2 linked regions of the Rattus norvegicus genome follow. The protein of the gene in region 2 interacts with the protein of the main gene of each other region in a biochemical or structural test. Links are inferred from orthologs where the notes say so. Each region holds a gene or a part of one and is shown on either strand. Other genes may lie near its edges.

Region 1 (3,645 bases), on a different chromosome or scaffold from region 2:
GCCTTCATGACCGTGGGAATGGGAAGATGCTGAACTGAAGTTGAATATAACTGTCTATAGCTAAGTCTGATACAAGTTCAATTCCAAAGTATGAGGGGGAATAAATAGTTATGGGCCAAAACCCACTTAAAGTTGAAGTATGGGTGGTATTTCTCCAGGATAGAGGTAACACATCATTGCTGATAAACCTCCTGTGAGACCAGGAAATAACTAATTATCTTCTTGGTTTTCAGTTACATGGAGGGGTCCTGCGGATATTTCCAGAAGGAAAATCATTTGTAGCAGACGTGGAGCCCATTTTTGATAGACTCCTGTTCTTCTGGTCAGACCGCAGGAATCCACATGAAGTTCAGCCCTCCTATGCCACCAGGTAAGAGGTGGGGGTCACAGTTCCTCTTCTAGGGTGCATACGAACCCTAGATTCCTGAAAACTAATGTCCTATATAAGGAAGTGCTGGGTACACCCCAAAACTGAGAGAACCTGTTTGGAGTGATGGAAATTGAAGGAGCCTCCTTGGGATTCATTAGCATACAAATCTGACTTCAATTTAAAGTAACTATTAACTTCCTGTTCTGTGAGTTGTGCATACCGCAGTCTCAGTCCCTTAGAATGTTTTCCCCTGTCCTTCTGTCCCTTCCTTCTCGACCATTAAGAAAAAGTTAGAGTTGCCTGGGCTTTGCGGTTCACTCCTGTGATACCAGCACTTGGAGGTTCGAGGGTTTAAGTCCCAAAAGCATCAGGGAACAGACAGAGCTAATGTTGAGCTGGCCCCCGTTACCACGTGTCAAGTTCTGCTTCTTTGAGTGAATTTACAGTCAGTTGAAGCAAAGAAAGAACCTTGGGAAGGAAAAGGGAATTTGTCTTGAATTTACTTCCTTTTCAACTCTTTCTATAGCTTAACATGTGTCTGGGCTAGCCTCATCCATGCAGTAACAATTGGATGTTATAGTTTTGTTTGCTCCATCCATCCATCCATCCATGCATCCTTGAGACAGGTCTCTTGTTGGGCTGGCTTGGAACTCACTATATAGCAGAGGATGACCTTGAGTTTCTGATCCTCCTGCCTCCACCCCCTAAGTGCTGCAGTCATAGGCATGGCCACTGCGTATAGTTTTTTCTGATGTTAGCTACGGCTTTAGGCACACAATGCAAGCATTCTATCAACTGAATAGACCCCAGACCATAATTCAATGTTCTTAAAACCTTTTTCCTTTTTATTTTTTTCTTCCCCCCTCCTTCTCTCCCCTCCTCCCTCCCCCACCCCCACCCGGGCACATGGATAAGCAGAATTCTAAAGTCAATGAACAACTTAGAATTGTAATCTTAATCTAGAAAGCCGATAAAAGCATTTACTCCTCTTCTGCCTTGAGTTCTCCCTTCTCTTCCCACACCACGGGCCAGGCAGGGAGCAGAGTGGTGTGGAGTAGGGCTTGTCCTGGGAAGGGTGTTGAGGTGGGAAAGCTGTGGAAGGATGGTGTTCAGCATTATCAAGCTTAGCCTTCTGCATAGCCCTATAGACATCCTGACCTGAGCTCCAGTTACAGATTCAGTCACACTGTGACATGCTCTGCATAAACAGGCCACGAGTCGCTGCCGCTGAAGTCTACCTGCGGCTTGTTTTATGGGGTTCAATAATAGGACCCTGTTTTGTGGCAGGATTCTCTAGTTACTTCCAAGCCCCACTGTGACCAACTTTATAGAGGAAACATTAGCAAAAGTGATCAGAAGTCCCTGGGGGTTGAGTTGGGGATGGGGTGGGGTGCCGTGGAAAGTACTGTAGCTAATGATAATTATAAAAGTAGAAGGTTTAAAAATCCAAGCATGAGATAGTGCCAATTACAGTCCCTTCCACTAAAGCAAGTAACAGGAGCAGTGGAAAGCCCAAAGGTATCAGTACCGAGCTGAGTCTTGGCACCGGTGCTGAAAACTAAAGAAAGCAGGGCGAGAGTTAGGGTGGACAAAGCTACTTGTGAACACTTCCCTCGGATGTTGTTACCTCCCCTTCTCTGTTCTCTTCCGTCATCTTGGGTCTCCATCTATTGCGGGGCAAGTCTCTTTCAGGCCTTCCTAGGCAGATTACCTTTGCCCATTGCATTCTTACCCCTCCAGTCAGTCACTGGAGCCTGAGCTCTTAAGGGAAGTTTCTAGGGATAGCATCGTTGAGTTCCCAGTGCTCGGAGCAGGACCTGGCAGTCCCCGGAACGCCTGTGTTACACAGCATTTAAACAGAATCCGTCCCAAGGAAACACTTGTACATTAAAACGGTGGTGGTTTTGCAAGTGATTTTACTGTGAGCCTCACAGAGTTAGTTCAAAGCTTTTGGTGGTCTCCAATAGCACGTGTGTTTCTTCCACAGGTACGCCATGACTGTCTGGTACTTCGATGCTGAAGAAAGGGCAGAAGCCAAAAAGAAATTCAGGAATCTAACTAGTAGGTGTCTGGCCATTTCTGCAACTTTAGTTTTATACTTTTGTAATGACACTGTTTAGTCTCAGTCGTGACTTAGCTTCATGTGTAACGATACCTAAAGCCTTGACTTTCATGCTCTTAGAGGAATCAGAAGGACACGCATGGGACATTGCCCCTTGGGATGTCCACTCACTGTGGGATGGTTTGTAATAGACAGAAATAATTAACTTTTTATTGTGACTGTTAATCAGTCATGTCTAATATAAAATTTTGCTCACGGATTTAGCATTAATATAAAAGTATAACAGATCCTAGTGCCAGTGGTATGGGATTGTGGCTCGGTATAGAAGAAGTAGGGCTCTCACACTATCAAACCGATATGATTTCACATCGTTCCTGGCATCCGCAGCCAGCATTCATAAGCCATGCTTCTCAATACTGGCTATGCTAAGCTGAGCTTGGCGGAACAAGCACGAGGGGCTCCACCAACTAGACTGGGGCAGGGGGACCGTGAATTTGATGTCAGCCTGACCTCTGTAATGTCCGGCCTCCCCAAAAAGTTATACGAAAGCAGTAATCCTACCAAGTTGGTTCATGGAAAGGTAAACTTCTGTCCCTCTGAATACAGGAAATGCTGTGTCCTGTATCCCTCTTTCGAGTAACTGAGTGTTAGTATACTGAATTGATCCTAAGACGTCCTAAACGGAAAACGAGAGATGTCGCTCAGTTGGAGCACTAGTCTAACGTGTGGCATGTCATGGGTTCAATTCTTTTTACTGCCAAATAAATAAAATGTATTTTTACATAAAGAAATTGACGTAACTCTACCTAAGTCATGACCTCTGTACCTATCAAATGCCAAGAAAAGATGGCTTTACAAAGTTCTGTTGGGAATCTCAATTAGCTCTATAAAAGGGGATGTTTTTTACTAGAGGAGTGGGGGGGGGGGGGAGAGGGAGAGGGAGAGGGAGACTTGATGACTGACATAATTCATCAAATTTGACTCCCTAACTTGTTTTTCCCTGTTTCCAACCCAGGAAAAACTGAATCTGCTCTTGCTAAAGACTGACGGTGGTGTGAAGTCCGCTGGGCGCATTCGTTTAGTGACAGTTCCTGAAATGTTAAGTGTCAAGATCCAAAGACTCTGTCCAATCCCCTGCCTACCGCCTGCATCGTTTGGCTCCCTACCTTGTTTGTGGTACTTCGTGTTTTCTTGCTGGGAATGCGTTGCCCTC
Region 2 (4,108 bases):
CACTGTGGAAATCAGTGTGGTGGTTCCTCAGGAAGATGGGAAATGATCTACCTCAAGACTCAGCTCTACCACTCTTGGTCATACAGCCAAAGGGTGCTTCATCCTCCCACAGGGACACCTGTTCAAACACGCTCATTGTTTCTCTATTTATAATTACCATAAGTCAGAAACAGCCTAGATGGCTCTCTAAAGAATGGATAGAGAACACGTGGAACTTTTACTCGTTGGAGTATTACTCAGCCATTAAGAAGAATGCAGATGAACAGAACTAGAAAGAGTTCATCCTGAGTGACCCACAGTGATGGAGAACAGACCCTGACACACAGCCTGCACAGGGCCTGAAGGACCTCTGCAAGGGTCCTCTGGGTATAAATTATGACTTCCAGAATGTGAGAACAAGGGGGTCTTTGACTCCTTGTGCCTTTTCCTGGTCTTTATGTTATTTTTATCATCCCTTAGATGCTTGTTCTTTTTTAATGAGAGACAGAGAGGGAGTGGATCTGGATGGGAGGGGAGGTGGGAAGGAACTGGGAGGAGCAAGGGGGGCAGACCGACTGTAACCAGGTTGTATTATAGGAGGGGAAAAAATCTACTTTCAATAAAAGGAGGAGGCATGAAAATATTTAATTCAAATTGCACAGATGCTGCACTGAGTGAATTAATAAGCAGTACCGGGTGTGAGGCTAAAGGCAAGCAATTTAATAAGGTGACCCTATAGCCTAAACCCTCATTCAAACCCTTATTCAAATAAGCTACTTTAACTGTGCTTGTAGTTGGGCAGAAGACCAAAGTAACTCACTCATTTTACTGATTTGACTCGGAAGTCTAAAATGAAAATCTCCAGTGAGCTATTTTTAGTTTAAAACAGATCTTGCCCTAAAAACTAATCACCACTGAGGAGATAATGCAAGACAACTTAAACTGTCTCAGGTAGAACAATTACTTTCATTAAAAAAAAATCTCAGAAATATTAACATTATTCCCACCTACAACTTTAGAAAATGAACTCGTTGGTAGAGGTCTAGATTAGAGAGAGGCATATAAATGAGGTTGTAAGGCTTTTTTTTTTTAAGGGCTTCAGTACTGGCAACAGTATAACCACACAAATGTAACCTATCATTTAAAATACAGAAGATCAAGTCAAGTTTCAGACATGAAACAGGTGAGGATATTAATTTGTAAAGCTGGTTGTAAAAGGGAAAAAACATTATCTCTGTGGGTACTTTTAAAAAAGCTTTCAGAGGCAGACATTAACGATTCTATTAATTTAGCTGTGCGGGTGTAAATGTAGGCTCTAAACGAACAGGTGGAACAAGGGAATGAGAGCTTGCACTTTGGCTTGTGGTTTGCTTCTCCTCCCTACTCCCCAGGAGCACAGGTAACTCTTTAAATAAAATGCTGGCACTGAAGAGAACTAACAAAGCTCTTGAGTGTCCTCGATGAGTCCTCGTGGTCGCGCTTAGGTAATAAACAACAACCAGACCAAACCAAACCAAACCCCAAACAGCAGCCACAATTTCAGAGTTCTCCCCAAGTCTGGGAGGCTGCGAGAAGGCGTGGCTTGCAGGATTTTTTCCGCACTCGAGTGAAGCAGGCAGTATCCGCTTCCCCTGTGTAAGCGCACTCTCAAGAGAGCTCCCAGATCTTGGGCACTGGGTCCATTCCTAACCATGCTTGTTGCTGGAAACCGTCCGTGTCCTTCCTCCACAATCTACACGGTCAGCTTCCCAGTTTTAGTTAAGCTGTCCAGCCTTACAGAGCACACCCCTGCAGGGGACGCGGCGGCACTCGGTTGAAAGAGCTGGGATGCTTCTAACCCGCAGCAAGTGCCAACTTAATCTACAGTCAGTGCTCTGGCAAACATCAACCCTAGTTGCTAGTTCCCAAAATGGACAGGTGGGCGGTTAACAATAGGCACACACACCCACACACACACACACACACACACACACACAGAGAGAGAGAGAGAGAGAGAGAGAGAGAGAGAGAGAGAGAGAGAGAGTGTTAGAGAGACAGACACATGGAGAAGGAGACAGAAAGAAGGAAAGCAGTGATATGCCATTCGCTTCTCAGGGCCTTCAAGTGCGCTGGAGGGCACTGGAACTCTGGAAGGTTCCTTGGCAGATTTGCGGATGGTGGTTGGACTTACCTTACAGGGAAACAGAACTGCCGAGGCGACCTTCTCCATAGCCAGGTTCCTGATGCTGGGCGTTAGGGCGCCCCTGCACGTCGGGCAGCAGCTCAACTTCTGGCGGCATTGGTTACACACCAGGTGCCCGGCCTGGCACTGCAGAATGGGGGGCAGGACATAGTCAAAACAGACCGGGCACTCGAAGAGCGAGGTCAGCTCGTGGTGCTGCGGGGACACTGGGCCGGCCCCGCCGCCGGCGCCGGGGCCTGAGATCACCGCTGCCGCGGCGGGCACCGCGGACGAGCCGGGGCCCGCAGCCGAGATGGTGGCGGCAGCCGGGGGCGCAGCCGGGGACGGGGCGTGCGGGGTCTGAGGCGGCGGCGGCTGCTTGCTGCAGGGTTTGTTAGCGCTGGGGCCGGTGGAGGACGGGCGGCTCATCGCGCTCCGAGCCCACCATGGACCTGCGGGCTTCTGCCTGCCGCGGGGCCGCCCGGGTTAAGGCGGTGCGCGCCCCGCGGGTGGCGGGCTCCGGGGTAACGCCACGGCGCCCAGTCCGGGGACCGGGCGCGGACCCGACCAGCACCGGGAGGGCGGGGACGCGACCGCGCCGATCCTCTCGGCGGCGCCCGGAGTGGTCGACGCTCTCGGGGATCGCGGCCGTGCGGTGCCCTCCTCCGGAGGCGTTCTGGTGCGCAAAGCCCTGGCCCACCCGCTTCAGGAGCCGCAGCTGACGCAAGCCCCGGGGGCGCGCGCGGACGTGACGCTAAGACACGTGTGCGGCCGACCCGGCACTCTGGGACTGGCAGAGCCACCCTGCGGCCCGCGCAGCTCCGCCCGGCCCAGCTGGCAGCGCCGGAGCGGTTTCCCGCTGGGAACACTTGACTCGGTCGGTCGCCGCCGCGCGGGGTCGCTTCTCGGCGGTGGCGGAAGCCAGCCGGCAGCGCAGGGAGAGGACGCAGCCCAAGTCTTCCGACTCTTCCCAGGGGACCTACACCGACGCGCACAGGACTCCAGCCAGAAGGGCAACTGCTGGCCCGGCGTGGGCGTGGACGGCGCGCGAGTGCGCCAGGGGTGGGGCGGGGCAGGGGCGGGGCTCGGAATCCCCACGTTTCTTTTAGGGTTGAGTCATTGACGCGCCGGAGAAGCTTGCGATCTTGCTGCTCAGCCCGTAGCTTGACACGCGGGGGCGGGACCCGGAGTCGGGCGGGAGCCGCGCGAAGGCCTCGGGTGTGGCCGGGCAGTTAGGTATGAGGGTAGACTCTCCAGTGGTCCTGCCCTTAAGGCTAGGAGGTAAACCCGCGGTTTTCCTTCAAAAGCCCACTGGCGAAAGCTTCTTGGAATTATTTGGCCGCCTCCGGTCCAAGAGAACCCGGACCTCTTGGAGATCTCTGGCTCGGTGGAGAATTAAAATCTCCAAGGAATACCATACACGTGGGTTGGGTTTGTGAGGCCCAAAATGACAGGAGACCCTCTACTATCTGAGTCCTTAATATCTAGTCCTGGTCCAAGCCTTAGGCTTTGAAGCTTACCTGGGGCTTTAAGAGGAAGGTAAAGGATTGTGAGTTCAACGTACCTGTTACCAACCCTCCTCAGCTTGACAGGATTGGTGCTGGATTCCTCCTGAGTCTTCTTTATACACCCCGACATGTGGACTGTCTCAGAGGTGTAAAGTAAGATGTAGACTTAGAGGTGTAGAATAAAGGGCACCTACAGGGGCTGGAGAGATGCCTCAACGTACTATTCTTAGAGGACCAAACTTTGGTTTCCAGAACCTACAATCGCCCATAACCTCAGCTCCAGGGGATCTGATGCCGTTTGGCACCAGTATACATCGTATACACACATGCCCATAAATAAAAATTAAACCTTAAGGGGGTGTTGGGGTGGGGCAGGGGGCATCTACACCCCACCTTCCGATCAAGCAACAAGAGAATTCTACAAGGGTTCCCCTAGTCTCCAGGCAGTCACCATTCAGAA

What was found. The genes of interacting proteins can lie anywhere in the genome.
Region 1: the proteins of Siah2 (region 2) and Egln3 form a complex in vitro, tested with the Homo sapiens proteins (2 studies listed by BioGRID). The link is inferred for Rattus norvegicus from reciprocal best matches to the Homo sapiens genes SIAH2 and EGLN3.

What each region holds. Positions count from the first base shown.
Region 1 is NC_086024.1:77,386,946-77,390,590, reverse strand, and holds part of Egln3 (prolyl hydroxylase EGLN3), read left to right. Parts: intron 1-233; coding exon 234-370; intron 371-2,357; coding exon 2,358-2,431; intron 2,432-3,447; coding exon 3,448-3,479; 3' UTR 3,480-3,645. UniProt on the Homo sapiens protein: Prolyl hydroxylase that mediates hydroxylation of proline residues in target proteins, such as PKM, TELO2, ATF4 and HIF1A. Target proteins are preferentially recognized via a LXXLAP motif.
Region 2 is NC_086020.1:145,078,869-145,082,976, forward strand, and holds the start of Siah2 (E3 ubiquitin-protein ligase SIAH2), read right to left. Parts: upstream 2,808-4,108; 5' UTR 2,570-2,807; coding exon 2,150-2,569; intron 621-2,149; exon of another isoform or gene 1-620. UniProt on the Homo sapiens protein: E3 ubiquitin-protein ligase that mediates ubiquitination and subsequent proteasomal degradation of target proteins.